Lytechinus pictus: one gene and its partners. The protein of the gene in region 1 interacts with the protein of each later gene in a pairwise test. Links are inferred from orthologs where the notes say so. Each region holds a gene or a part of one and is shown in the gene's direction. Other genes may lie near its edges.

Region 1 (10,412 bases):
TTTAGACTGTCAGAGTCAAATTATCACTAATAATGAAAATGTATATCAAATGACTGTCTTTATTCTCTCTCATTCATGATTGGGATAATAATGCTCCAAACTTTAATGCAATTATGGCTGAATTTACATTTTATTTAATTCCGTTCATTTCGTTTTATTTCCATATCCAACAAAATGGTGTATATACGTAATGCAATGTAAACACTAGAGCCCAATAAATAATCGTATAATGTTCACTAGTCACGATACGTCCGTCACAGAATGGATACCAAATTTTATGATCATTGACTACTTTGGTCTTTCCGTTAATGCACACAATCATTATTTGATACTGCAGCGATGGGTGTACATGCATAGGAAGATCCAGGGGGGCCAAACTGCCCACTCCCTCTTTTTGGCGGTGTAAAAAAAAAAGAAGAGGAAGAAAGGGGGAAAATAAAACGAAGAATAATGGAACGAGAGGAGTGACAAAAGAAAATAAAAGCATAAGAAAGAATCAGTGCTTAAAAGGTTCCTTTTCGGGTCATAAAAAAACCCACTCGCGCTTCGGGCTAGCATTGTTAAAGGGATGGTCCGGGCTGAAAATATTTTTATCTTAATACATAGAGTAGAATTCACTGAGCAAAATGCCGAAAATTTCATCAAAATCGGATAACAAAATTAATAATAAAGTTATTGAAGTTTAAAATTTAACAATATATAGTGGAAACAGTCGTCATGAATATTCATTAGGTGGGCTGATGATGTCACATCCCCACTTTCCGTTTTCTTATGTTATTACATAAAATCATAATTTTTTCATTATTTCATACTTGTGTGAATAATATGTTTCCCTTATAATGAAATAAGTTGCAGCAATAAATATCTAATGCACTAAATCAGTTGTCAATCCAATTTTTCTAGTTCTTGGTGGAAAAGCTTGAATAAACCTAATTTCATATAATAAAATACAAAAGAACAAGTGGAGATGTGACATCATCAGCCCACCTAATGAATATTTAGTCATGACGACTGTTTGCACAAAATATTACTAAAGTTTTAAATTCAATAACTTTGTTATTTGTTATCCGATTTTGATGAAATTTTTTATTTTGCTTAGTGAATTCTACTCTATTTATTAAGCTGTAAATACTTTCTGCCCGGACCATCCCTTTAATTATGATACACAGCTTTTTCTTTATTAATAAATCTGCTGAACATGTCTAAAAAAATCAACTCGCGCTTCGCGCTCGCTCGTATTATTTGATTGTTGGAATATGTACATGTTTAGTTGAGTATTTTTGTGGCATTAATGGAGGAAAAACACAAAAATTCAACGTTTATAGTTTCCACCCTTGGTGTATTGTTCCATACGTCGACATCTATTCTGACTCTTGCTCTGACACACCGGATATTTGTCACATATATATATATTTAGATATATATATATATATATATATATATATATATATATATATATATGTATATATATATATATATATATATATATTCGGGTTTAGGTCAATATTTGTCCTGAGACCCAAACGTTAATTCAGGGTATGTAACCCGATATGACACAGAAAGGGTCAAATGATTATGAACTGGAAATGGTCACATCATTGACCTTACTTCTTTTCAGTTTTTTGAAACGGGGTGGATAAAGATCTGAAAATAAATCATGAGTATTAAAGCATAATGGTTAGTCGATCGCGTGCATTTGAGAGTCCGAAAGTCCACTCACCGCGCTTCAAAACAGGGGAAATATGTCGGGTATCTTTATAATTATTGATAACCTCATACCTGATTGGTTGGATTATGAAAATTTAATTCATTTCCATTAATTTGATGTAAATGTTATTTAGATTCAGTATTCACGTTTCGCTATTCATTTGAAAGAACACAAAAAGGCCCAATTTTTAACCACTTACAGGGCAACATGCTGTCCACGAACCATTGGTTAAAATATGTCCAAATTGGGTCATAAAAACAAGTAATTGGGTAATGAATTTGCTCAATTGGATAATAATTGCCCAGAATATAATGTTTTTACCAACATACACAACCCAACACAGTGGACAGTATATGTTGCCCAACATTTTAAATGCTCACAACTTTTGCTATGGCAATCGGTCCGTATTTTCGAGACACTGGCACCTTAATTTGTTTTCCCACTGAAATATCAAGAAGGTATCAAGAGGGTCAAGAAGGTCGAGATAGTTTGCTGAATAGATTACCTACATGTTGATATATAATACTATGTGACTAGTAATGGTCACATTTCATTATTCTCTTGAACTCTGAGATCGCAAGCAGCAGAAACTGGCATATTTCATTAATTGTAAAAATAGCAGAATAAATAATAAAACAATCTTGCCTAAGGTTTTAGAAAAATCCATCAAGGAATAAAAGAGTTATTAGGATTTCAATTATTTGATCGTGACGTCATATGCGAGCAGCTTCCCTACATATCGAATGGTAAAACCAAAACTTACTGCGGGTGATCCTTTGCCATTCAGTTCTACCCTGGTCTACGTCTTCAGCATCCAGTAGGGGGAAGTCCCACATCACTTCTGACTTGGTCCCTCTATCTGGAAGGAGGACGTCCTAGTAAAAAAAAATCGTTTAAAAAATTCAATGAAATGAATATTTTTCAGAAAATTGAAAATGGTTTTCAGATTTATTTCAACACCCGTTTCTAAAAAGAAAACAAAAATAAGTCATCACAATCCACTAAAATTGAAATTTATGCATTTCATATAACAAAACATATGGGTAGCTGCATGCTCGTTTATGACGTCACAAATCCAAAACTTTAAATTCTAATAACTTTCTTAATCTTTAATGGATTTTCCTCAAACCATCCCCTATATCTTTTTTTGCTATTTTTACGACAAACTTTTCTTCAGGGTGAACTTCCCCTTTAATACAGTCCAAACAAAATCAGTTGACAGTAACAATGTTCTTGTGCTATAAAGCTTTGCGTACTGAAAATTATAATATAGCTCCAGTTTGAGAAAGCCAATATTTATAGTAGTATCCAGTCCGGAATTGATTTTGATTTGAACTTGGGTCTGCGTACGTATAGTAACTAGCAGTCTAGCATCGTCTATACGTAAACTAAATGAGCGAATATGACTTAATCCAGAATTTGACTGGTCTCAAACCTAATGCTAAATGTCGGATAAATATCCGACAAACCCTTTCATAAAACATTCCCCTGATTTAATATCTATACAAGTTTTATAAAGTGTACACACCTCAGAATTGTGGAAAAGACATTGTACAACAAACTCACCCCCCCCCCAATTTTTTTCTTTTCAAATCATGGAGCGTTCGGCAAAATTTCTTAGAAGTTCCGAGAGAGTGAAGGGAGCGAGCAAAAACTTTGGCCTTTGAAAAATGAGAATCTAACTTTGTGATAGATTTTGACGTGATTTTCAGAATATGACATTTTATATTTTCCTCATTTATCCTCTTCTTTTCTTTTATAATTCCCCTCCAATTCTTTTTTCCCTTTGTCATGTTTGTCGTGGAACTTTTTTTGTGGGGGGGGGGGGGCATGGCCCCAAGCGCCTCCCTTTCATCTGTACGCCAGTGAATTTAAACACTACTATAATAAGTCATTCAAATCTCCATTAATTAGGGAAACAAATGCACGACTCACCTGATAATAAGATTATCTTGAGCAGCAAGATCCTTTTAAAATAAGTTTTAATTGATTGGCCTATATACGATGAGGTGGCGCTATATACTCATCTTCGGGAGCTTACGTGTACGTAGAATGGTATCTCTGTCATGTCTGTGCATCTATTGAACTGCGTCCATTATAATTTTGACACGAAATAGGCACTTTAATTTGATACGCCCCTAACAAACATGCATGCAGGGTGGCCGATAAAGCATTGCGATGAATGGAGTTTCCGGGGAACCTCTTTTAGTTACCAGGGCTTTTTTTAGTATTTCGGGGGCTAAATCGCCCCAGCCCCCAGGCGCGGTTCTAGATTAAAAGGTTTTTTTTTTTTTTTTTTTTTTTTTTTTTGGGGGGGGGGGGGGGCTTCTGGGGGCTTGATAAATTTTCGACGTTGGTTTATTCCATACAATGAAAATAGCCTATTGTGGGTAGCCTTATACTGATCAAGTACCTAGTCCCCTCTCCCCCATAAGAAATATTTATAATATCATGCGAGGGAGCGTAGCGACCGAACGAAAAAAAAAATCTCATTTTCAAAATGCATGTGAATTTTTCATCTATATCATGCATCAGGGCCTGATTGGTGTTATAGATGTAGAAAATTTTTGACATTGTCTTTACCCCCTCTCGCCGGCATGGATCGACACTCCTGATTCTTAACTATAGTGTTTTAAATAAGTTTAGCCTCATTTTGGGTGATTTCAAGTTCAGTGTTGACCTTTTGGTGTTGGTGTTATGTCAATTTTACACGAGTATAACACCAAACATAAAATGAAGATGTCCTGAAAAGTCACTCACTAGAGAGCATTAATATATGCTGCATAATTATTTAGATGTTATTTTGCGAAGGAGCGTTATAGGGCCCACATATATATCTTTTTTTTTTCTTTGTGGTCGAAAACTTTCTGGGGGGCTTGAGCGAATGTTTTTTTTTTTTTTTTTTTTTTTTTTTTTGGGGGGGGGGCTTCAGTCCCAATACCCACCCCCTTAAAACCGCGCCTGCCAGCCCCCGTGTGTTTCCCTGGATTGATGTAATGTCGCCTTGCTCATAATTAGAGTGAGCTCATCAAGTGAGGAAAAGAAGGCACTCTCTTAATTGTACTGACACTGATAGAAGGGTAATTAATGTTTTTATGTTGATATATCTGTCTGCGTCCATATATTCTATAAATAGCACAGCGAAGAATAACAAGTAGGCCTACCTTCGTCCTATTCCTAAAATAAAACATGCATGGGTGAATCGTAAATTGAATTTATGAATATAGTATACAAAGAATAATCCCTCGGGTCTGCAAGACGACCCGTCTTTTTGTATTTTTGCAATAACAGGGCGCCCTAGCTGGGAACGAATTTTCGAACATGGGGTGCTGATGTATAAATTTGACAAGCAAAAAAAAAGAAAAAAAAAAGAAAAGATTTTACTACGAAATGACGGTCATTTTGTCCCGAGAATTTTGACAAGCAAAAAAAAAAGGGTTTCACTACAAAATGAAGGTAATTTTGGTCAAGAGATATTTGACAAGCACAAAAAAGGGCCGGTTTCACTACGAAAATGAAGATCAAGTTGGTCCCATAAAATTAAAAAAGGAGGGGGTAGTAGGTTCTTCCTTTTGTTAACATAATTCGGGTGCTGCTTATGGAGAATAACCTTGAGAATAACACACGCAACAAACCCCCCCCCCCCCCCCGAAAGTTGAGGTGTATATGCTTCAGTATATTCCCCAGCAACCCCGCTTTAATTATTCGGACTTTATCAGGAATCACCGGGAACCATATCTATCTATCTATCCACTTATTTTTTATATTACATTCTCTTCTCTTCAGTCTCCATATTTCTTAATTTTCGTCTGTTCTATTATTCTCATTCCCATTGTACTTGCCTCTTTTGTCCGTGCGCCGCAAGAAGATAATTTATGTCATTATGTACATGTAGTCTGAAAGACAGAACTCATATTGTTGTGAATTAGTGAGACTATATTCGCTCATAAAATGTGGCTAAATTCTACCAGATACACGTACACACAGAGAATCGGAGTATATTTTCAGCCTTATATCTTACATTTTTTGTTATTACTGTTTAAGTGTAGATTCTCAGTCTGTGCTTGCAGACTAGTCATAAACCTTTCTGTAAATGCGACTGGCGCATTAGGCTAGCAAGCTGTACTGGGGTTGTAAACACTGAAACGGAAATCCGCAACGAATTCTTAATCTTATGAATTTACCTTTGACAAGCAAAAACTACATGTGTTTGAGTCAATATTTCCTTATTAAAGTACGTTCGGCGGAGGTGAGTTAAATGGATGCCCACTGATTGAATTTTAGCGTATTTCTGTTCATTTGATCATGGTGTATTTTTGCAATGGCAATGACATGTTTTGATGGTTGAGGCTTGAGCGCAAAGTCAGCTCAGCGACAGCGTACCGCGGAGGTTATTTGTGTTTTGTCGTTCGACTTGCAATTGCATGTAAAATTCAGCTCCTTGGTAAAATGTAAACAACCGAGTGAGATCTACAGTAACTGTAATTCTTAGGGGTGTTTCACAAAGAGTTTAACTGTGCACTAGTTCAAGTCATGCTGGTTTGTGTCTCATGATCATCAAACTTAATAATATAAAATATAATACTAGTTAATACGATCTGGCCCAAATAAATTTTGTGACTCATTCAATACAACAACAATGATGAACAAGGACACCAAGGCAAGCCCAAGGCCAAGGTTGATACATCCTTGTTCTTAGACCGATAAGCTCCCCTGAGACTTCGTCTGGCGCCGCGGCATCCCCTCCGTCAATAAATAGATCGATGACGGCCATTGGGCTTGTAATGGTGGAGCAAATTCGCAAACAACCGCCGCTTAACAACATGAACAACATCGATCGTCTGTGGAGAAGGTTGTGCTTTTGCACCCTCCTCAATTAGAATTGTAGATCTATATAGTCTTTTAAATTTATCCTTAGATCTAGTATTATTTCTTCCTCTTTCCCCTTTCAAAAAACACGATTCAGGAGTAATTGAGGAGGTTGCGAAAGTGCACCCTTTCTCCATAGACGCTGTAGTTAAGGGACGGTTGTTTGCTCCACCATTACGAGCCCAATGGCCGTCATCTGTGTAGGAGGAGGACAAAAAAATTAGAAAATGTTGAAAAACTCCTCCGAACCAGCGGATTTATCAGTCTACTATGTTCTCTGTTAAGGCTTGGTCCCACTGCACTTATGGATGCAGAGAGGATGTAAAACAGAAAAGAATCTTTTCTGCAAAGTGTATACAATAGAAACGTTATATATATCCATTGTGTAGGGGAAGGCGGTGTAAGTTGTGACACTTTTTGCTATTTGCATGTTAGAATTGATATGACTAATTATATTGTCGAAATAAGTACCTTGCCTTTAAATTTGATTCTTGGGAAATATTTTTCACCTCCTATATAACTTTCTACCCCCCACACTGAAATTCATTGTGACCTTTGAAAAAAAACAATGTCAAATATGGCTCAACTTGCCCCATCTGTGGGGTAAGTTGAGCCACAAAAACTACGTCCAAAATGTATGCGGGAAGAACCAGCATGTAATCTTTTTATTTCAAGTCTTTTCACTTGCTAATTCTCTATAACATCCTCTAAAAGTAAAAGAACTGTCATGTGAATTTGCACCTTTCTGCCTGCATATCAATGGCTTTTCAAGGTTTTTTTTTTATTATTATACATTACAATAAGAATTACCATGGCTCAACTTGCCCCATGTTGGCTGGCTCAACTTGCCCCATGTTGGCTGGCTCAAAGTACCCCAGTCCGAAATTAATGCGATATTTTCACATCCACACATTTTTTATGCATCCATCATGTAAAAGACTATATGACAAGAATGAGATTCATACCTGGACTAACAATATTGTTCTTATTTCTTTATCATATTTAAAGACGTCTGTGGGTAAAAAGCACTGATCTATTTTACACCCTTTTTTACTTTTTTGGCTGAAATTTGTATTTTTCCCTCTAAAAAAGTACTTTTTGTTTCAAAGTCGAAAACGATGTGGTGGGGTAAAGGGTTATGTAATGTGTCATCAATACATGACACCACCACAATGTCTGACTCATTCATTATTGGCCTGAGGGTGGTGGCTCAACTTGCCCCTATGCTCAACTTGCCCCGCCTTCCCCTACTCTTTGCATACTTGTTTGATACGCATTATATCCATCAAGCATCCGTCCACTGTGATTTCATTGTTCGCCCAATCCCATTTTGTCCATTGTCTGGAGCGAATGAAAACGGATGGAGCCAGCCCGAAAGTTTGCTTGTCCGCTATATCCATCATGAATACATTTTGTGTCCGTTGGCCAGTGGGACCAGGCCTTTTTGCCTTTAAGTAAGTGTTACTACTTACTCCCTGTGTGGTGAAATAACGTTGACAATGTTTGGCTTATTTTCTCTTGTTCTAGGGGACAAATGCTTGATTTTTTGACACTGTCAGTTTCCATTATAGCTATTCGTCATATAACGTGACTCTTAAGTAAATTGAGTTTTTCTAATTATTTAAAAAAAATAGAGATTGAAAAATGGCAATTTTCTTTCAATTTTACTTTCCACCAATAGAGGGCTTACATAAAAATATGCCAAAAATTCAAGATTTTGAGTGCTCTGGTGAATACAAAAATAATCCCCAGGTTACTAATGAAAAATTAATTGCAACTGTATGGAAATTAGTGTTTTTGGTTACAAAACTGATATCTTAATGAACTTTGTAAGTGTAGGATGCTCTTTACTGCATTGGCATTCCATAGATCTACATGTATATGTAGATTCCCCACAGGCAGGGTGGTTGCAGTGCACATGTGCCTAGGATCTAATGTAGATCTAACAAGCAAATTAAAAAAAAACTAATTCACAACAATATGCAAAAAAATAACAGAAATTAGGGTCTAACGTTAGATCTACAACTTTTTTGGTTGTAGATCTAACATTCGAGTCTACACAGTGAAAGAAACTCCTTAAATGTGAAATGTTAGTTAGGTTCCTGACTGTCTGTCACTGCTGTTTAAGAGTGGACAGCATCCACGAGAATCGTCCAGATAAAGCTTAATTAAGGCACCCTAAGGCCTAGACCAAAAGCTTCAGTCTTTGTTCCGCTTAACTATGTTGGCTCAGTAACATGTCAGATATTGTTGAATAATTCCCCAGAAACGACGGTTATTCCTGTCTACATAAGGCCTAGGTCTAAACAAGGATTAAAGGGCAGGCGGCTAGGTACATGTAAACGGCTGAAATTCATCTGTTTGGAGGAGTTTTAAACATTTAAAAAAATACTTTTTATGCAGGAGGTATAGATCTAATGAAGCAAGCTGTAGTCCAGTGGAACAACCAGAGACTGAAGCCTTTGGTCTAGCCGCGAGGCAGACAGCTCAAATCTGTCTGCTTGGAGGGGTGTTTAAACATTTTTTACTGTATTACTTTCTCCTCCTATAACGGAAATACCAACGAAACAGAGACTGCAGGCCATTGGAATTAAGGAGGCTCTTCCTCAGTTTTGGTGTTTTTGACACTCAATTCGCATTAAGTGCCTACCAGCGAAAGCACCCCTTTTTGTGTTTTTTTCTTGTTGATGCTGTCCACTGTCCAATAGCAGTGACCCCCCCTGGCTCCGAGCTTTGTTATTGTATGCTGAGCATGCAGTTGCAAATATTCTTATTTTATTTTCATTTTCAGGGATTCATGTAGACCAGGAGATGAATAATCTCATCTTCATTACACTTAACATCAGCCCCGACGTCAATCTCTGAGTCTAAGCAGGTCGAGGGACAAGCAGAGAAAATAAGAGAGATCATATCAGACTAGTCATGTTAGATGTAGAGGTTGTACCTGGTCGTTCCCTTGGCAGTGAACAATGGGAGTTTGTCCTGGGTAAGTTTGTCGGTTTTTTATTTAATTTCTGAGTATTTAGTTCTTATTCTCACACTTATTGTATTCGCTGAGCAAAACTTGAGGGGAAAATTGCAACGTGAATTCATCCATAATTTTATATTACAAAATCCATCCTAATTAATGAAAAAAAATGTGTTTTCAGTTATTCAAACCTGAGGCTTAGATTTCTTGTCATGTCAGGGTCGAGAAAGAACACTGCAAAAAAAAAAAAGAATTGATTGAATATAGATTGTAATATGCCATGCAAAATGCCATCCTCAAACTTTCAAAAAGATATTTTTGTGAAATGAAATGAAATTGTTCTTAAACTGGATAATTTTATTTATGTGGCAAAAATAAATTAAGCTCAATGTGTTCCAATTACCTATCTTCTAATGCACCTAAGAAAATCAATGGAATGAATTTGCAACCTCTTTAAAATGTCAGGGGGAAATCCAAGAAAATTTGGAGGCTCTTATTAGATATGACTGTCACACTCATGACACTCCAGAATTTTGATATATTTAATTCCAATACACAAGTGTATTAAATATTTCTATATTTTTAGAACTTTACTATCATTTTATGATTGTCCCAACTTTCAGAGCAATTATCTATAAAAACCCTCCCAAAGTTCATGTGAAGTTTGTGTTGGGTGTTTAAACTAAATAACAATCACAAATTAATTGCAATTCTGCAATTGTTAGAAAGGTAAATTGCCGATTTGTCTACTGCCAACTCGTCCACTCACCACATGGTCTACTTTCATTTAGTCTAATGTCATTCCGTCCATCATATGTTCGTTTAACAACCATTTGGTCCAATTATCACTACATCTACATGTAATCA
Region 2 (11,094 bases), about 62 Mb from region 1:
AAATTAACTCGAGACGATAATTAATTTGTTGTTAATTTAGCTCATAACTTTGGTGAAAGTGTTTGGAGTTAACGTATAGAATACAGGTGTGATAAACGTATATTGACATTGTACATTAATAGGTAATTGGACATGCACATGAAGAGTGTTGCGTAATAGCATATTGGTACGGTACTGTGTGGTAATCTCGCACACAGTGCATAGTAGGCTATTCATGTTCAGAGTTGTAAACGAAATGGAATGTCAAATAAACAAATGTTGTTCTTTGTTAGCTACATTTGGCTCTAGTTGTTGAAAAGGATACAGTATATGTATGAGTTTGGAAATAAGGCATTAAAGCCAGTTTTTGGTGCATTTTAAAGCCCTGATAATTACAAATAACACATACAGTGAAGGTGAAATGAAAGCCTAGTTATTTGGTTTGAGTAAAGTTATTGCTAGTCAATAATGCCCCAGAGTATATAGTTTAGAGGCAAGGTAATATTTAAGTATCGTAGTTGATATAAAGGACAAATGAGACAAAGTAAAGGTTTTGTTTATTTAACCGCATATAGCAAAGTTTATTCAAGGTCATTTGAATACATTGACAGAATTTGACAGGTAAATTTGTTACAGGAAACCAGAATATTTATTTATGCAAGATTCAAACGTCACAAATAATTTGTGCAATACATAGACTATTTATTTATCTCATGCAAGTACATAAATGTAACTGCATATACAGATGCTTATTATTGTTTGTTTATATTTTTATGCTACAGATTGAACATGCTCGATGGTATGCTCGATGGTATGCTCGATGGTATGCTAGATGGTATGCCCAGATTGTATACTTGATGCATCGTATGATAACTGGAAATTCCGCGTCACCGAGTCTTTTGTTTGAGTACTGTCTACTGTCAAGTCACTAGTAGTTATACGTCACAAAGGGTATCTATTTCGCTAGGAAAATTACTTGTTTAGGGTCGAATTTGCGGCGATGATAAAACAAAATTAAAATGTTTTATAAAGGATGTCCTTTTTGCCCCAACACTTCGTGTTTATAGAGTCCGATTTGCGCGAGGTGTAGAAGGTGGGGTCGTACTAAACCAAATAAGGTAAGACGAAGACCGAAGGACCAGTGGCGTACCTAGGATTTTTCACAGGGGGGGCAAAATCAGCCGCCCAAAAAATTGACAAGCCAAAAAAAAAAAAAAAAAAAAAAGTCTTCAATAAAAAATAAAGGTTATTGTACCAGCAAAAATATTGACAAGCAAAAAAAAAAAGGTCTTCAAGGTCTCTGCCCCCCCTGCCCCCCCCCCCCCCCCCCCCGTAGGTACGCAATAAAACATTCCTGTACTTGTTTAGGGGTTCATTTCAGGAAATATTTGCCAAGAGTATCGTTTTATTTCCAATACTTGTTAAGGGTAGGGTTTTAGACGCCAATACTTGTTAAGGGGTGCATTTTCAGAATATGGAAATTACGTGTTTAGGGTGCTTTTCGAGACCCCATGGTCGCGCATGGTATCCACTCGTGAATGGAAGTGGCCCCCCCGGGCCAGCTGCCCGACTGATTTGATGCAGGACTCCGATGTCAATAATATACAAATAATGCATGCAGCCGAGTGCGTTAGTGGAAATGCAGAGCACGCGAGGTTTCTTTAGATAGGAGTCGTGCTGTGCACGAGCCGCTTGCGGCGAGTGCCCAGTGTGCTCCATCTGAAGAAACCGAGCTTTCTCTGCATTTACTTTTACGCACGACAGAGCAAGTGCATTATTTGTTTTATAAAATAGCAACACAGAAACAATTTTAAAAAAAGTTACAGTACAGTTTTGTTGGACTTTACCGCACTGGTTTGCTCGAGAGTGCAATGTCAATTTTCGTTGCACACCTTTTGCACTACCGTGCAGTGCACAAAAAAGTTGGATGTCATGTGACGCGTATTGACCAATCGCGATGCTTGAAATAATACAGCTATTTTATAAAACCAATTGTTTTCACTTTTCACCAAGCAGCACGGCGCATCGCATCGCACAATACATACCGCCGCAGTTTCATTGCCGACCTGCTCAGCTTCGTACATCAATCCCATAGACCTGTGTGTGCTCGATAACATGTTCTCTTTCCGCCTCTCAATTTCCATTTGCTTGCTCTGTAAATCGAATCCATAATCATTATTCGGGTCGTAGTCCGACGAATCTTTTCCAATATCCTCCCAGTCATTCCATGAACTTCCAGCTCCTCCACCTCCTGCTGATTCTTCATCAAAAAATGGATTTTTACCCGACATTTTGCGTAGTTTCCTTGCTTAGCTTTCTCTCCCCGAATGATTATTTATTATTGTAGACTTATTCCAGACTTAAAGAAGAAAGAAGAGATAAGTACCTGAGACAAATAACTTTGTTCATTTGAAATCAACTTTGTAACATTTTCTTTCCTTCAAAAAGATGGATATTTGATCATCCAAATGAATTATTCAATACATCAAATTAACTAAATTACGCATAAAATACACTTAATTGGATGACAAAACCAGGTTATTCTCTATTGAAATGACAGAAGAGAGGCTAGCTTTTGGCGTGTTCAACGTATGCGTACAGAGCGTGAGTCATATATAGTCGCGTCATAGCTAAACAGAAAACGTGACAGAGTAGGATAAAATGGGAAGATTGTGTATTATAAGAGTTCAAGGGGGCAAGGCCATTTTTTTCAGGGGCGTATTGCAGGGGTCAGTGGCCGGGGGGAGGGGAAGAGCCAAAAATTTCCCGCGGGGCCGTAGCCAGGATTTTCTATGAGGGGGTTCCGACTCTTATATAAGGAGTGAACTGTTTATTTTATGATCAGTTCCGTTTTTTCCCGGCGGGACGAATCCAGCTTTCGCGAATAGGGGAAGGGGGGGGGGGGGGATGGCAGAAAAAAATCATCTGCATTTTCCCCGATCGGTCGCTTGGATAAATAATGCAAGGACAAGCTCATTTTTAATATTACGGTATATGTATTTTGAAGAAAAAAAAGTTCAAAGCAATTTTGGTAATGGTGATCAAGATGGGTATATCAAAGTAACGCGGGCGCGAAGCGTGAGCTGAGATTTTTATATAGTATACTCGACCTGAAAACAGGAAGAGGGACCCATAAGGACTGTTTGCAGGGACTCGTGGAGAATGTACATATCTCACCAACCAAAATCATGCGAAAATGATGAATATGTTTGATATTCTGATGTGAAAACTTCACAGTCTAAGCATTTTTTTGTATACCAATAATCAGGATGTTATCTGAAGAAACAATTGATGCGAGCGAGAAGCGCGAGCTGAAATCTGCAATATACTGACCCGAAAACATGAGAAGGGACCTGTCTAGGACTGTTTGCAGTGATCATGCGGAGGATACATATCTTCACCAACCAAATAATGCAAGCGCGAATTAGCTTCAAATTCTAAGCACTTTTTTGTACTAATGATCAGGATGGGTATGCGCGAGCGCAAAGCGCGAGCTGAAATTCTTGATATTTCGTTCTGAAAAAAACTTGACACTTAACGGACGTTTTTAATAAAGAACAAGATATGTATCCAATAAACAATGTGAAACGTGGGCTTTTTTAGGTTTAAGTTAAAAAAAAAAGGACGTTCGATTCATTTTTTGTAATCATGAAAAGGATGGGTTTCTTGCTATAAAAGAAATAGTTCGAGCGTGAAGCGCGAGCTGAAAATTTATGATATTCCAATCTAAAATTTTGACATTATAAGCACGCTTTTACATAAAGAACGAGCTTCGTATCCCAATGAACAAATTAATGCTAGCGTGAAGATCGAGTTAATAAAGTTAAGCACTGTTTAATATCTAGTACCATTGTGAAGAGGATATTTTTAGTTACTATAAATGATGAAAGCGCGAAGCGTTAGCTGAATTTCGGTGAGGGATTTAGATCTAACAACGGGTTATTCTAAGCACCTTTTGTAATTACGAATGAGTATTTGACTAAACAATAATGCGAATGCAAAGCGCTGAAAATTATTGATAGGCTTATACTGATGTGAAAAGTGGACATTTTAATTCAGGAATGTGATACATATCTTGCTAATCAAATAACGGAGCGCATCGAGAGCTGACCATTTTTTTATATTCAGCACTTTTGTAATAATGAACAGGATGTATAATTGCGTAATTGCATATCTCACTGAAACAAAATTATGATACTCGAATCGCCTGCAGAATGTGTGCATATTTGACTTAAAAGCTCTTTTTTGGTGTTGGCATTGGCAGAAATCTGTCCCCAAAGGCAGAGGGGGACCAGGAGCTCGAAACTTTGACAAGCAAAAAAAAAGTTTTTCACTCAAAATTCACTCGATTGTGAATTATGTATTTTTCTCCATCATAAAAGACAAAAAATAGTATTTTATAGGACGTTTGATATTGTGTCCCCCTACTATTTTTGATAGGGGGACGCGTCCCCCTGCATGCCCACCCCCTGGGATTTCAGCCCATGAGTGTTGGCAAGCGGCGGGGTTCCGTGGAACCCAGGTTCCCCCCCCCCGCCCTTGGCTACGGCCCTGTCCTGGTCATAGGAAGGTATGAACAGGGTTTTTTAATGATTATGCGAGCGTTGTAATCGAGGGAGCGTAGCGACTATGAACAGTGAAAATTCTATCTTTAAACTTGGTGATGGCGAGTCCAGTGAGGATGGGGGCGTGGAGGCCCTTGAGTACCGATCATCATTAGGCCTATATAATGCTGATGATAATGCTTTTATTGCCAATAAAGTTTTTATTATTCACTCGAATTTTCGATGGGCCTCCGTCTTAATTCTTCAAGAGTTTACAATGTGGTATCAGATCAATCAGAGAGCGCATCCTCAGACATCAACATCTGTCTGAGGATGCGCTCTCTGATTGATCTGATACCACATTGTAAACTCCTAAATAAATAAATATATATATGTTATAAATTTACATAGACCTGCAAAAGAACTAACAAGGCCTAATGATGATCGGTACTCAGGGGCCCTCACACCCCATCCTCACTGGAAAAGGCCTATAGCTACGCGTCCCTCCAGCTATCACTAAATTTTGTCCCTATATGTTTAAAGTTATAATTTTCACTGTTTAAAGTCGCTACGCTCCCTCGCATAAATAAAACTATATGTTAAGAAATTTGAAATAAAAGCCACCCTACACCTCTGCTTTAACAAAATATCTTGTATTCATATGTTATTTGGGAAGTTCACCCTGCATGGCAAAACGTTAATAGGATTATAAAAAAATTGATTTTGATTTTTACGTCATATGCGAGCAGCTTTTTTACATATCGTATCGTATGATAAAAAAATCAATGAAATTTTCTCAGAAAATTGAAAATAGTTTTTACTGTACCTTTAGTAATTCAATACACAAAACAATTCACACCTGCTCCTAAATAAGAAAATGAAAAATTAGTCATCACGAACTATTATAAAATGAAATTTATGCAATTGGCAGTTTATCATATTATGCTCATTTATGACGTCACAAATCAAAAACTTGAAATTGTAATAACTCTCCTAATCTTCAAAGGATTTTTCTCAAACCTTCACCAATAGTTTCTACACCCTTTTCGTCAGGGTGAAATCCCCTTGAATGCTTCCGATAAAAGTGCTTATTGCTTTCAGAGACAACAAAATATCAACGCCTCGCTCTTGCATTATTTTGTTAAGAGAGATACAATTTATGTCGTGTTCATTTGTTTCTGCAAATATCCCTTTTAGGTCAGTATATCCAAAACATTCAGGACGCGCTTCGCGCTGGCATTATTTCTATACTATCCTACGGAGAATATGTCCCATGTTCACAATTCTCATTTTCACGCTTTGTCAAAAAAAAGGGCGAAAACAAACTGACCGGTGCGGAACATTTCTTATATATTTCTTTTGCATTTTTAGCCAGTTGAAATAAAACAGATACATTAAACATTTTCGTAACAACACTGCCACCCAAAATAGCATTTTAACCCTAGGTAAGCACAGCATTTACCTTTTTTTTTTGTTCCAGCTGGATCTGAGGACATATAATAATAAACAAAAGTTTATTTCAGACATCTACAGCATTTTTTTACTGTTTTTATCATATGACAATAATTAACAGAAGGAAAATCAAGCTTAAAAAGGAAACAGAATAAAAAGGTCAAAGATATTTTGAAATCAATCTTCCTAGCTTAGGCCATGCATGTGTTCTTCATGATTAACGTCTACTTTTATTCATATAACTATTTCCAAGTTCTCCGCAAATAATTTTTCACAAAATTTTCAAAAGTAAGTTTTGCTCACTCAACTTCGAAAAGATTTTTCGACAGCTATATTGTCATTTGCTTAAAGAGATCTTTACCAATGGTTAAATATTATCAGAAAAAAACTTAAGGATATTACAAAAATATATTATTTTACAGGATTATTGATAATTTTTTTGTTGTACGCACTGTATATTAACAAATTTCTGCAAAATGTCATTAACTAAAAACTGGACTAGACTATTTTGTTTGGGACATCATAATGGCCCCTTGAGATCTCTGGCGTCGACCGTGTCGTAGATGGGCAAGCATGTTGTCCCCGACCTTGTCTAGAAATTGTATAATAATGATTTTTTTCAATTAAACTTTTTATGCTAATTTGTGCGCCTTGTGAGACATATCTTTTCGCTGTTTTAACTCCCTACAGAGAGCTCCGATAATGTGAATTATGTTTGGTGTAGAAACCCTCTGTGGTGTCCCTAGAAAATATAACAACATCATCGTTGGAGTTAAGTAAAGTAAAGTAAAGTAAAGTAGAGTAAAGTAAAGTACAGTAAAGTATACTCTTGAAAAAAAAATGCAGATCATTGAATACCTTATGTAGCCAAGATGTGGGAGACTGGAGGGAAAAAAGTCACAAAACATCGTGGCGAAGGGTTTTCACGTTGCAAACATATTGTGCGAGACCGAGAGGGGCTTGGCTTTAGCCTAACGGGTCATAAAACGAATTGGAATAGACCAAGTGAATAATTGCACGAACTTTTTAGACCAAATAAATAGATCATCCTAGTGTCCCTGTATATACAGGGACACTAGATCATCCGATAATAACTCGCCCTCTACTGTTGAACTTTTGCATAATGATCTAATTTACATACAGACGACAACAAGGAGCTCATAACGTCATTCCTTCTCTGCCTACAAGATCCTAATTTTTCTTCACTGAGCTGGTTTTCTTGTTCGGAAATAGAAAAATGAGAAGTATGGTTAGATGAGAGAGGTTGCAAAGAATGCTATACCCAGTTTTCAAGTCTCAAGTGGCTGCAAACAAGGCGTCTGCACGTCGAATTTCAACAGTCGGTCGAGCCGATCCCTGCCTGATTCACGGCGCGTTGAGTTGTTCGTGATCTTGCACTGCACAGCGGAAAACAGCTGAGCTGAGCCCAAACAACAACAAACCGAAGGCCGAATAGGAGTCGGACAAGTCGAGGGTCAGGGATAGCAGCTGGTCCTGGGGCTGGGCTCGGGCTCGAATACAGTCAACAAAATGTCGTACGCCGAAGGTGCAAGACGAGTTCCGCGTGGAGGAAAGACAGTGAGGCCACAGCCTGTCAGGTTTGTGAACAAAACGTCGAGAACCTGGGCTGGGACACTCCTAGACCAAAAGCTTCGGTCTCTGTTATGTTGGTTGTTCAGCTGAACTCCGTTGGCTTCACTCACCAAATACAGAGACCGAAGTTCTAGCGCGATCTGTACAGGGGACTCAATGGCCATATGTTTATGTGTATTAAGTTCGGATAAAACAGGGCAGTGAAGTTGCGCGACAGCCGAGGTAAGTCACTGTTTTTGTTCCTTTTAACTTGATTTTCCCCGTTTTTTGGCAATTAATGCCAAGAGGGAATATTAATTTGCATTTCGGTCGCGTTAATTTTCAAAAGTTTGATTCATTAAAGACAAATATTGAAGAGCCCCGATGGGGGGATTTTGCATTGTAAGTCCCCTAATGGTGGCTGCACGATAGCGAGCCGTCTGTGTATGAGGAGAAATTAAAAAAATAAAAAAATGTTAAAAAACTCCTCGAAACAGACGGCTGCCAGCTGTCTAGGCCACTCCTAGTACCAATGAATGAGGTCCAACATTACATGTATGGACCTCATAGGCGACATCAGTAGTATTTTTGGTTAGAAATCTCTGAGAACAGGATATTTATATATTATATCACAAGTACAAGCTATAGTATATTCCTTTCTCTTATTTAAATTATAATTTTATAGTGTAAATGCATCGTTAGCAACAACAAAAAATGAAAGAAATGAAGGGGAACTTACATTTTCACGGCTTTTTCCTGATTTTCTGGGCAGCTGCTCTTCTCTTCTGACTTGCGATCGAAGCTGATATGAAGATCACGTGATTCGCGTTCTCGTCAGCTGATCGGTTGGTTATTCTTTTTGTCAGACGTTAATAATATATATTTTATAATGCTAGCATTCATCGCTAATTTAGGTGAAAGAGATTGAAGTTAAACAGCGCCAGGTCGGAATCATAATTATTTTGGAAGAGTTTATTTATACACTCGATCTCATACCTGACGTAGACGGCGCTATTCAACAAATGCACAATCTTCAATATAAAAAATAAAACAGAAAGAACGCCTTGAACACAGGCCAAAATGCCTAACGATTTCTCCGCGGCATTAACAACTATCGTAAAGGGCGCTCCATTTATCAATAAAGATGGATGCTAAGCTGTCTATGGCGACAAAATTTGCCGCAAATATTTACGAAGAATTGTGAGAAATGGTCTGAAAATGCAACAAAAGAACCGGTGAGTACCGATTAAACATTATCAATTTATTTAATAGAACATATTTAATGACTAAAATGTAACAATTTCTAGATAATATTGCTTAGTTCTAAGCTAGGGCGGCCCAAATGCGCGTGAGTGGAGTCCCAGTTTATTAGCACGGGTAAGTATTGGGGTGTCGCCTAGAGTGGGCTGGGCCTACCTCAGGCGATGTTCGTGCAGGCTCCACTCCACTTCACTACCGCTACACTACGCTCCACCTACCCGAACATCGGGACAGTGAACTAGATCGGATATTCCGAGTCATAAAAGGTGGGATGGCAATCATGGTTATCGTAAAAATTAAAGAAAAAAAATATTAAGAGGGATATGAATGACTTAATATCTTACTTTACACCCGTATTTCACTCCGTGTCCATCCTCCGGTTATCCTAAAAATTTGTGATTTTGGGCTAGTATCTTTTTCCTCACACGTATTATTCACGGCCGATTTCAAAACATCGCATGCGATCGGGTCGCTGATCGATCGCGATCGCATGCGATGTTTTGAAATCGGCCGTGAATAATACGTCACGTGAAGTGGAGTGGAGCCTGCACGAACATCGCCTGAGGTAGGCTGGGCCTGGCTAGACCTAACCCAGGGACAATGTTACAATTCATAACAAAAATGGCAGATCGAGACGGGGGTAGAAGGAGAGAACTTTTCGTTTTTTGAGGTTCCAGTCTGTGCCCAGATGTCAGGAAACTGCCACTCGTTAGACCTTCATCCATATAATCGTGGTAAGTGCATAATTTCTGTTTTCACAATTCATTTGGAAAAATATTTAGACCATAAATTACCCTAGTCCCGTGAGTATGGTAAAATACACGGTAAGCCCCTGGGCTCCCGCCCGCTGCGCGGGTGGGAGCTCCCTGGATTAGGCTAGACCAAAAGCTTCGGTCATGTCGGTCTCTGTTATGTTGGTTGTTCCACTGAACTACGTTGGCTCCACTCACCAAATACAGAGACCGAAGTTCTAGCGCGATCTGTACAGGGGACTCAATGGCCACATGTTTATGTATTCAAGCTCGGATAAAACGGGGAAGTGAAGTTGCGCGACAGCTGAAGACTGTTTTTCCCCTTTTATTAAGTTTATTTTTTCCCCGATTTGGTGCATTTCAGGCCGAAACAAAATAATAATCTCTATTTTGGTTCAATTCTTTTTCAATATTTTTATGAAATAAAGACAAAAATCGATGTGCCCCGTCGGGGGGATTTTGCATTGTTCACCCCCTAATGGTGGCTGCACGACAGCGAGCCGTCTGTGTACGAGGAGAAATTTAAAAAAAAAAAAATGTTGAAAAACTCTTCAAAACAGACGGCTGCCAGCTGTCTAGGGCCTGGCTAGCCAGGTCCAGGAGGCTTCTAATGTTAGAGTCTTCGAGTTCGAGAGTACTAAATGCTTACTCTCCACAAAGCCAGGAATTCCTTCCTATTCATCTGCACGTACCGCCCAAAAACCTGAAACTTTTGCCCCCTAGTCATTTCTACTTTTCTTCTAAAAGATCTAGCCCTAAATCATGTAAATGGGATATAACTTCATTTTTGACATTTCTACGCTATCGATTTCATTTTAAACAAGAATTCATCAAAAAAATGAGAAAAATATGAAAAGACGGAAGAGACTTGCCCAATGTTTACGCCGCCATCTTGTTTCTTATTGAATATTGTTCTTCCCCAATGTTACGGACACGTAGAAATGTCGGAAATTAAGTTATATCCCATTTACATGATTTAGGGCTAGATCTTTTTTTAGAAGGAAAGTAGAAAGCTCGGGGGCGAAAGTTTCAGGTTTTTGGTCGGTACGTGCAGATGAATAGCAAGGAATTCCTGGCTTCGTGGAGGGTAAGCATACGTTAGTAAATGATTTTTACTCTCTAGAAGCCTCCTGGCTAGCCCTGGCATAATTAGATTATACAGCTGGCAGCCGTCTGCTTCGTCCTTCGATATGTTCGAGGAGTTTTTTAACATTTTTTTAAATTTTTCCTCGTACACAGATGGCTCGCGATCGTGCAGCCGCCATTAGGGGGTTAAAAATGCAAAATCCCCCCGACGAGGCTCACCTACATGTATTTTTGTCTTTATTTCATTAAAATATATGAGAACTGGACCAAAATAAAGATTATTCCGTTTTGACCTGAAATGCACCAAAACGGGAAAAAATAAACTTAACAGGACAAAAATCAGTGACTTACTTCAGCTGTCGCGCAACTTCACTTCCCTGGTTTATCCGAGCTTAATACATAAATATATGGCCATTGAGTCCCTGTACAGATCGAGTTACAACTTCGGT
Region 3 (10,371 bases), on another chromosome or scaffold:
TGTGGTCGATGGTCGTCCGTGGTTAAGGTTGTCGATCATGAAATATCATGCACGCACAATATTTTGAATTCACGCCAGCTGATTGACATTGTTTTTGATTGGGTAAGCTTGCGAAGTGAGCAGCCTATTATTGGTAGCAAATAATGCGTGGCCAATTTGATAAGTGGAGCACAATTTGGGAAGAGAACTTTGTACCAGAAAAAAATATATATTGGTGAAGGTTTGATGGAAATCCATAAAAAAATTAAGAAAGTCATAAGAATTTTAAGTTTTAGATTTTTACGTCATATACGAGCAGCTGCCCCGTATTTTTTTAATTTCAATCTTTTAATGGTTCATGATGATTAAACTTTTTTTTTTCTTTTAGGAGCGGCCTTGTGAAATAATTATTGTCTATATTGATATACTAAAGGTGACCAAAAAAAATGAAAGTGACAAGCCATTGTTTTTTTACAAAAAATATGGGGAAGCTTATGCATGTAAATAAAAGTTTGTTTGCTTGTTTGCTTGCATTTATTTCTGCGTTCAAAAACACAATACAAAAATATTTACAATTACAATATACAAAATAATTCACAATATAAACAATGTAGTCATATTACATGATAAATACAAATAAGAGTGTGAGTATAAATTAATCTTTTATAAATGTAAACATATATATATAATGTAATAAATGAACGCAGGAGACCACCATCGTGAGCGGTTAGGCTTGAATTGATGGCGGCCTCATAAAAAGATTCGTGACTTAGATTGATATTTACTGGTCAAGTGGGTGCATTGCAGGTGCAGGTGCTGTATAGCAGTTGAGTAAAATCAGAATGTTAAATAGCGAATGTGGATATTTGAGTGAATGTTTTAATTTGGAGCGAGGGGTTGATAAGATTGAATGATAGTTTTCTTTAGAGTGGCTTTTAATGAGTATATGGTAGAACAAGTTTTAATATTGTTTGGAAGATCATTCCAAATGTCTGGACCATGATGTCGAATTGATTTAGAGGCAATTAACAGTCTGGGGTTAGAGAGATGAAAGTTTCCGGATATGCGCGTTGGGTAAGTATGGACAGAACTATTAAATTTAAACATGTTATCAAAAGACGAAGGGAGCAGATTGTTAATATATTTAAACATAATTATAGCTATTTGAATAGTATATAAGTCGGCAATTTTTAATGTCTTTTGTTTAAAAAATAAAGGATCGGTGTGAGCCAAATAATGCGATCCTGTACAAATGCGAATTGCTCTTTTTTGTAATTTAGAAATAGAAGTAAGTTTTGTGGAACCACAATTAGCCCAAACAACGTTACAATATGTTATATACGGGAGTATTAACGAATTATACAATAGAAGTAAAGTTTTATGAGGTAAAATAAATTTCAACTTGGAAATTATTCCAATATTTCTCGAGATACATATAATGATATGGTGCAGATGTTCATTCCAAGACAAAGCTTGATCTATGATGACGCCTAAAAATCTAGAGTGAGTCTTCCGCTCTAATGGTGTACCGTCAATCTGTAAGTGAATTGGAGTATCGGTAATATGAGAATGTTTAAAATGGATGAAGTGGGTCTTTTTTTAGTTCAAGGATAGTTCGTTTGCTTTAAACCACTGTGAAACTTTAATCAATTCAAGATTTAATATGTTATTTAGGGAAGTTATATTTTTATGAGAAAAAAAGATATTTGTGTCGTCAGCAAATAATACAAATGATAAAATAGAAGATGTGTTGATAATATCATTGACATATAATAAAAATAAAAGCGGGCCTAGAATGGAGCCTTGAGGGACACCACATTGAACTGAAAGTGAACTAGAATCGTTGCCATTAAATGTGACATATTGTTTTCGATTTATTAAATAATCTTTAAACCAAAGGAGTGATTGACCTCGTATACCATAATAATTAAGTTTTGAAAGTAAAATATTATGATTAAGTGTATCGAACGCCTTACTGAGGTCACAAAATATACCAATGACATGCTCTTTGTTAGCTATGGCGTTTGTTATTTTATCGTAAATTTGAATTAAAGCCAAGTTTGTTGAATAATTTTTTCTGAAGCCATATTGATTAGAAATTAATAAATTGTGTTTGTTGATAAATTCATAAAGTCTATTATATACTATTTTCTCGAGGATTTTGGATATACTAGGGAGTAGAGATATAGGGCGATAATTGCTTATTTCATGAGGATTGTCTTTTTTAAAAATTGGATTGACTTTGGCGATTTTGAATAAGTCAGGAAATATACCTTGTGATAGAGATTTATTAAAAACATGACTAAGAGGGTTTGCAAGCGGGTGAATTATTTCTTTTAAAAGAGACATACTAATTTTATCATGCCCATGAGATTTTGAGCTATTAAGAGACCTTGTAATGTTGAGAATTTCTGTGGGGTTCGTAGGGTTCAAGAAAAATGAATGTGGATTAGGTTCGGGGAGATAATCCGTGAAATGCGCATTTTGGCTATTGATCTTGCTTGCAAGTTCGGGTCCGATATTTGTGAAAAATGAATTGAATGAGTTTGCGTGAAGGGAAGAGTCAACTTTGGTACCATTTAAAGTGATATTATCGGTAGGTGGGGGATCTGCATTTGTTCCCATTACTTCTTTGATGATTTTCCAGGTAGTATAAGTATTTGAACTGGCATCTTTTATTCTATTAGTATAATACATTTTACGTGATAAACGAATTAATTTTGTTAACTTGTTGCGATATACTTTGTATTTTTTTAAATTGGCTTCAGTAGGATTGCGTAAATGTGACTTGTAAAGGCAATTACGTGTCTGTATCGATTTTAATAAACCTTTTGTTATCCAGGGTTGTTTGGGTGTTTTTCGATTATTTTTTACCTTTCCTATGGGAATATTCTTTTCATAATAATGTTGTAATTTATTATTTAGGAGATTATACGATGTGTTTGCGTCAGTTTCATTATAGACATCCTCCCACCCCTCAAGTAATAAGTCTTGCTTCATTAATTCAATATTACGTTTAGATTCTTTTCGATATGAGCGTTGGTTAAATGATAAATAACTTGTAATCTTTGATGGATTTCCTAAAACCTTCAACAATTTTTTTAAATGCTATTTTTATAATAAATTTCCCCGAACTTCCCCTTTAAGTAGTGAATTAGTATACTACTATGCGAGTGTGATCTTTCAGAACATACATGAGCTAGATGATCAGTTCAATTTCAACGACGAGAGTGGGGGGGGGGGGGAGAAGCTCGAAGCGGAGTTGAAAAGTAAGTGGAAAATGGACCATCGTCATAACCATCTTATCGTCATCAGTCATTATCATCTTCATCTTTTTCATCATCGTCACCCGTCATGATATCACCATCTACATCATCATCATCATCGTCATCGTCACATCATCATCACCATCATGCCTCATCCCCCTCGTCATTAAAGTACAATTACTTTAAAGGTTAAGTCCACCTCAGAAAAATGTTGATTTGAATCAATAGAGAAAAATCAGACAAGCATGATGCTGAAATTTTCATCAAAATCAGATGTAAAATAAGAAAGTTATGACATTTTAAATTTTCGCTTATTTTCACAAAATAGTTACATGCACAGATTTAGTCATATGTAAATGAAAGACTCGACAATGTCCCTCACTCACTATTTCTTTTGTCTTTTATTGTTTGAATTGTACAATATTGCTAAATTTACAGATTTGAGTCATTTGACAATAAAGACCAACTTTACTGAACCATGAAATGTAAAAAAATGGCAATTCCACGTGTTCGATCAGGGCGAAAGAAAACTTTGTTTCACAGGACAATGAGGACAAAAAATAGATCTACAATGTTTCATATTTCATATAATAAAATACAAAAGAAAATGAGTGAGCGAGTGATGTCATCAGTTCCCTCATTTGCATACCAACCGGGATGTGCATATAAATATTTTGTGAAATTTATGGGCGAAACTTAAAAATGTCATAAGGCTTTTTTTATTTTACATCTGATTTTGATGTAATTTTCAGTGTTGTGCTTGTTGGATTTTTCTCTTTTTATTCAAATCCACATTTTGTTGTGGTGGACTTGTCCTTTAACGTTGAACTAAATATCAATAAAATTTAGTCACAGAGTGATACAACTTGCCCAGAGACAGTGTGCATGCACTGATATTCCTCTTTTAACTTTCAGTTTTACTTGCACCATCCCGGCCTCCTTCCCTCCTTCCTCTGCCTCCCTTTACCTCACTTTTATAATTTTATTATTTACTATTAAGTTTGAATATTATTTTCTCTTAATTTTGTAGTCGCGTATCGCTTATTTGCTAAGGGCTAATCCAGTATTTTCCAAGGGGAGGGGGCACATTTTTCAAAGGAATTAAAATTTGACAAGCAAAAAAAAAATAAAACAACAACAAAAAAAGGTTGTCACTAAAATTTGAAAGTCATTATTTCCTGCTTACACTTTGACAAGCAAACAAAAGAAGCCCTGATCACTTGTGTATGAACGACATATTTCCATGAAAAATATTTGCTGTGACCGCAAGGGGGTGGGGCACACTTGTACATGAACGACACATTGAAAATATTGACTATATGACTCTCAAGGGGGGGGGGGGCACGTCGGCACGGAAACGCCCCCCATGGATCTGTCACTGCACTGATGTTCTATAGTGTTTGTTTATAAGCTCGTCCAGTCCGCCCCCTAATGAATGTATACGTATGAAACTATTCTTGTATTTTGTTGAACGGAAAATAAATAAATCTAATCATCATCATCACATCATCATCATATCATCATCATCATCATCATCATATCATCCTCATCATCATATCATCATCATCATCATATCATCCTCATCATCATATCATCATCATCATCATCATCATCACCATCATCATCATCGTCGTCACCATCACCCATCATTATCATAATAGCTTCGGGGCGGCGGGAAGCTAGGGGCAGGGGCGGATCCAGGATTTTCCAAAATGGGGAGACAAATTTTTTTTTGGGAAATTTTTTTTTTGACAAGCCCGCGCCCCCCCCCCCCAAAAAAAAGGTTTTCAACTACAAATTAAGGATATTTCGTACCCGATCAATTTGACAAGCAAAAAAAAATAAAAAATAAAAAATTCAAAAGAGGGGGCACACCATAGCACTTTTACATGACAAATTTTTAATTTTGCTTCTCAAAGGGGGGGGGGGGGGGGGCACGTGCCCCCCCCCCCCCTGGATCCGCGCCTGGCTAGGGGCACCGGGGCAAGCTAAATACGAACCGTAGCTAGCTAATGATTTTTCAAGTAGGCCCTATACGTCTGTTGAACACAGAGTAGGGAGAAAAAGCAAAGAGTATAAAAAAACAGTAAGCGAATTAAATGAGAGTACCCGGTATATCAAAAGCATGGAAAAGAGCGGTCGCGGTCTGTGTCGTATAAATTCGAATTGATATAAAAATGTAAATCATTACAGAGGTATAGATCTTTTCAACAGCAACGCAAAGCATAATCGCGTCGTTGACTTTACGGATGGCAACTCGCCTACAAATAAAAATATTACCCACGGAACTCGCACAGCAGCACCGGCACCACGGCTGGGGTTTCTCAAGCTACCTTTCCAATTCCGCGCCGGGGAGCTGCCGGCGTGCGGCGCTGATGAAGTGCGGTGGCGCAGCGTCTTGTAGCGAGCTGCTAGTCCGTAATAACTAACTTCACGTCTAGCTACATGAGAGAGCTCGAGAGATGAGCTGCTAGATTTAATTTAGATCTAGGCTAGATCTACTAGGAATAGGGATCTGTCAACTCTATCACTAGGACGAATAGGAGTCGAGTCTTAAGCCAGACGAGGCCGAGCTGAGGATGGATTCTATCTTCCATGAAAAGGTACCGAATTAGTTTTTGTTAGAAAGATAAGATAAGATTTTAATTTTTTATTAAACTCTATCGACCCTAACCCAGAGAGCTCCAGCCCGCGTAGCGGGCTGGAGCCCAGACGCTCAGTGTGCAAACGGGCATTCAGGTGAGAGTACCGTGAAGTTTGGTCAAAATAATTTTGATAATACATAATTAAAACAGAAATTAAGCACTTACCACGATTGTATGGATGATAGTCTAACGAGTGGCAGTTTCCTGACATCGAGGCACAGACTGGAACCTCAAAAAACGATCAGTTCTGTCGCGGTGGCTCTCCTTCTTTCAAAATTCATAGCAAAATGGCCGTTCGAGAGGGTGTAGGGCGCATGCGCGAATTTGACAAAGTCTATATGCGCTAGTGCTATACTAGCCCTCGATCGGCCATTTTGTGTTGAATTCTGAAAGAGGAGAGCTACCGCGACAGAACTGATCGTTTTTTGAGGTTCCAGTCTGTGCCTCGATGTCAGGAAACTGCCACTCGTTAGACTATCATCCATACAATCGTGGTAAGTGCTTAATTTCTGTTTTAATTATGTATTATCAAAATTATTTTGACCAAACTTCACGGTACTCTCACCTGAATGCCCGTTTGCACACTGAGCGTCTGGGCTCCAGCCCGCTACGCGGGCTGGAGCTCTCTGGGTTATATCGACCCTAGCCTAGGGCCTAGTAGTATAAAACTAGTAGTAAAGTATAAACCCAGCGCCAGCCCAGGGAGCTCCGGCCCGCGACCGTGCAAAACGAGGGAGACAATCGGTTAGATTGGGGACTCAATAGTAATCTTAATAAAATATGGAAGCAGAAATTATGCATTTACCACGATTATATGGATGAAGGTCAGGTCTATCGAGACACACAAATCCTGACATTGAGGCACAGACTGGAACCTAAAAAAAAAACAAAATATATAATAGCCTCGGTCTCGATTAGCCTGCCCTGGCCCTGGAGGCTTCTTGGGAGTAAAAGTCTTTCTACTCAACGTAGACTTACTTATTTAGCCTGGAGGCTCCTGGAGAGTAAAAATCAGTCTACTATACGAAGGCTTACTCCCCATGGAGCCTGGAATTGCTTCCCATATGGCTACACTCCTACAGTACAAATACCGTCCCAAAACCTGAAAGTGAAACTTTCGCCCCCGAGATTTCTACTATCCCTCTAAAAGATCTAGGCCTAGCCCTAAATCATGTACATGGGGTACAACTTCATTTTCGACATTTCTACGATATTGATTTCATTTTTAAACAAGAATTCATTAAAAAAACGAGAAAAATGTTATGAAAAGACGGGAAGAGCTTACGGCGGTGTTTACGTCGCCATCTTGATTTCTTTGTCTTTCGCTTTGAAGTGAAGTTTGGGCACCCAATCATACAAAGACTCCTCGGAAAGACACCTCAAAGTCAATAAAGTCTCTAGCCTAGGCCTACGTTAGACTCCAGGGGCCCGTTTCTCAACAAATGGACAAGTTAGTCATATCTTTATCCACCAACCACGGAGTTAGTTCCAATCTTACTAAACCTGTTTCTCGAAAGGCTTCCTAACTAGAATACCTTGATATCGATACTATCGGTAAAAAGAGCAGACGAGACGTAGCCTTAGTCACAAAATAGCATAATTTTCAAAAAGAAAAATTATGACATAATTGCAAATATTATGATGAATTGGGAAATAAGTCTTTTCAAAATAGTAGCACAGGTGAATTTAGACCAAAAGCTTCAGTCTCTGTATTTTGGTTGTTCCGCTGAACTACGTTGGCTCCACTCACCATACATAGACTGAAGGGGATGGGGCCCCGTACCTACAGCCAACGTATAGTGAACTAGCGTTTTATAGATCGCGATTTAAAACTGTTTTTTAAGCAAAATTGAAAGTTTCATGGTTTCCATTATCAGGGAAATATAAATAATTTAAGTAATTGCATACCTTGGGCCGGAGTTATTGAAAAAAATCCTCTGGATGATTGAGAAATCTGTCATCTAAGACATTTTCACCTGACCTGACGGTTTTTCTTGCAAGTTGCCATCTTGAATGACGTAATTATCGTTATTAACTTAATGTCTCGAATCGATATATCGCGATTATAACTAGTACTAGTACTAGTATAACTAGTATCGTTTATCTTCGGTTTCGTTCGCATATGGAGCAGATCGTATAATATCGAAAGCAATATCGATATCACATTCGTGATTGTTGACGTTCGTTTGTAAATATTTTATAGTTTGGCTGCCATTTTGACCATTTTTATCGTGTTCAACCCAATTAAACATCGGTAAAGTATATTTTTCATGCCTTTTTCATCTATATCGTTTAAAGTATTCAAACATTTAAATATTAAGTTTTAAAAGTTTGTTGTTTATACATCCTTAGATTGTAAATTCGATGTGTAAAATTACATCAAACTTTGGACTGTGAATTGACAAAAGGGAGGGAATGAGAACACATGCGAGCCCACACGTACACCCTACCGTCGGTAAATGGGGATTACAGTAAAATGTCAGAAATTGTTGAATAAATCCCCAGAAACGACGGTTATTCCTGTCTAAGGTGAATTATGCATCATACATACTTAAACCATGAAGACTGGAGCATTCAATTGCAGAGAAAATTAAATTATGAATAATTCATTTCATGACTAAAAAATCACTTGTGGACGTTGAGATGGGTACCCCCGAAAGACCCAATTTTAATAGTTTACGAAAGTAAACCATAACGGTTTTCTTTGCAAAATGATGATAATTATACGGACTTTTACGATTCCAAACGTCATCAAAATATATTTTAACGAAACATTTTTAATCATTGATACCGAAAGATACGATATTAGACAAATTATATGCAGAAATTAGTGATAGAATTCATCCAACTGTTAATAGGGGTCTGAAAACAACAAATACGAGTTCAGTTATGGATGGCCTGACGTGGTAGAATCTTTATCGATTAAATCATTTTACTATTTCAAAATGAATGGTTTTGTGGCGTTTACCAACAGTTTTTATAGTTTCTTTGTATTACAATTATCATTGAATGCATCAACCCACTTGTTTTGTGATGTAATTTCAACCTATATGATTGATTACGTAAGATTATAATTTATAAATTTCTAGGCACTTTCGCATGTCATAGTCTACCCACGTGATGCCACTACGTCATTAAGAAAGAAGTTACGACAGGTTCGGAGGTGTCATAAATATTTAGTGAGGTTGTTGTACCCGATCTTGGTAAAGAGGGCTTCGTGAAACGGTTAGCGGACAAGTAGCTCACTATCTCCGATTTAGTCAAGAAGTTAGACTTATGACGGTGTTGAGAAACGGGCCCCAGGCGTATGTCCAGCGTAAGGTGACCAGATCAGGGCAGTCAAATTACGGGACACTTTGAAGTAAATATGTCGACAAGGGCCCGTTTCTAAACATATCTAAAACATTCTAGCCTATTCTAACCATTTTTGTCTCGCCTGCATAGCAGAGCGAGACTATAGGCGCCGCTTTTCCGACGGCGGCGGCGGCGGCGTCAACATCAAATCTTAACCTAAGGTTAAGTTTTTGAAATGACATCATAACTTAGAAAGTATATGGACCTAGTTCATGAAACTTGGACATAAGGTTGATCAAGTATTACTGAACATCCTGCCTGAGTTTCAGGTCACATGACCAAGGTCAAAGGTCATTTAGGGTCAATGAACTTAGACCATGTTGGGAAAATTATTTTCAAAATCTTAACCGAAGGTTAAGTTTTTGAAATGACATCATAACTTAGAAATTATATGGACCTAGTTCATAAAACTTGAGCATAAGGTTAATCAAGTATTAGTGAACATCCTGGTCGAGTTTCAGGTCACGTGATCAAGGTCAAAGGTCATTTAGGGTCAATGAACTTTGGTCAAGTAGGGGGTATTTGTTGAATTACTATCATAACTTTGAAAATTTATGGACCTAGTCCATGAAACTTGGACATAAGGTTAATCAAGTATTAGTGAACATCCTGGTCGAGTTTCAGGTCATCACGTGATCAAGGTCAAAGGTCATTTAGGGTCAATGAACTTTGGTCAAGTAGGGGGTATTTGTTGAATTACTATCATAACTTTGAAAATTTATGGATCTAGTCCATGAAACTTGGACATAAGGTTAATCAAGTATTAGTGAACATCCTGCCTGAGTTTCAGGTCACAAAACCAAGTCAAAGGTCAGTTAAGGTCAATAAACTTAGGCCATGTTGAGGTAATTGTTGAAGTGCCATCATAACTTTGAAAGTTTATGGATAGAGTGAATGAAATGTGGACATGGGTGTAGTTGACAGTCTTAAGTCTCTGTTCAAATGTCATTTATGGTCAATGAACGTGGTATTATGTCATTATATGAATGATGTTTTTGTGAATGATTATTTTATAGTAGTTTTCAAAGTTAGCACTGCTGCTATATTACATTGCGTAATGCAGGCGAGACTGCCAGAGGCGTTCCACTTGTTTAAAATATGCCTAGGCTAGGCTAGATCTATATTTT

Evidence for each region.
Region 2: the proteins of phagosome assembly factor 1-like (region 1) and BCAS3 microtubule associated cell migration factor-like interact in binary tests that used the Homo sapiens proteins (3 or more experiments, as listed by UniProt). The link is inferred for Lytechinus pictus from reciprocal best matches to the Homo sapiens genes PHAF1 and BCAS3.
Region 3: the proteins of phagosome assembly factor 1-like (region 1) and ataxin-3-like interact in binary tests that used the Homo sapiens proteins (3 or more experiments, as listed by UniProt). The link is inferred for Lytechinus pictus from reciprocal best matches to the Homo sapiens genes PHAF1 and ATXN3.

The regions. Positions count from the first base shown.
Region 1 is NC_087246.1:65,438,011-65,448,422, forward strand, and holds the start of phagosome assembly factor 1-like, read left to right. Parts: upstream 1-5,687; 5' UTR 5,688-5,957; intron 5,958-9,368; 5' UTR 9,369-9,499; coding exon 9,500-9,563; intron 9,564-10,412. UniProt on the Homo sapiens protein: Plays a regulatory role in autophagic activity. In complex with BCAS3, associates with the autophagosome formation site during both non-selective and selective autophagy.
Region 2 is NC_087246.1:3,617,325-3,628,418, reverse strand, and holds the start of BCAS3 microtubule associated cell migration factor-like, read left to right. Parts: upstream 1-7,093; 5' UTR 7,094-7,505; coding exon 7,506-7,573; intron 7,574-11,094. UniProt on the Homo sapiens protein: Plays a role in angiogenesis. Participates in the regulation of cell polarity and directional endothelial cell migration by mediating both the activation and recruitment of CDC42 and the reorganization of the actin cytoskeleton at the cell leading edge.
Region 3 is NC_087251.1:48,006,832-48,017,202, forward strand, and holds the start of ataxin-3-like, read left to right. Parts: upstream 1-5,286; 5' UTR 5,287-5,824; coding exon 5,825-5,848; intron 5,849-10,371. UniProt on the Homo sapiens protein: Deubiquitinating enzyme involved in protein homeostasis maintenance, transcription, cytoskeleton regulation, myogenesis and degradation of misfolded chaperone substrates.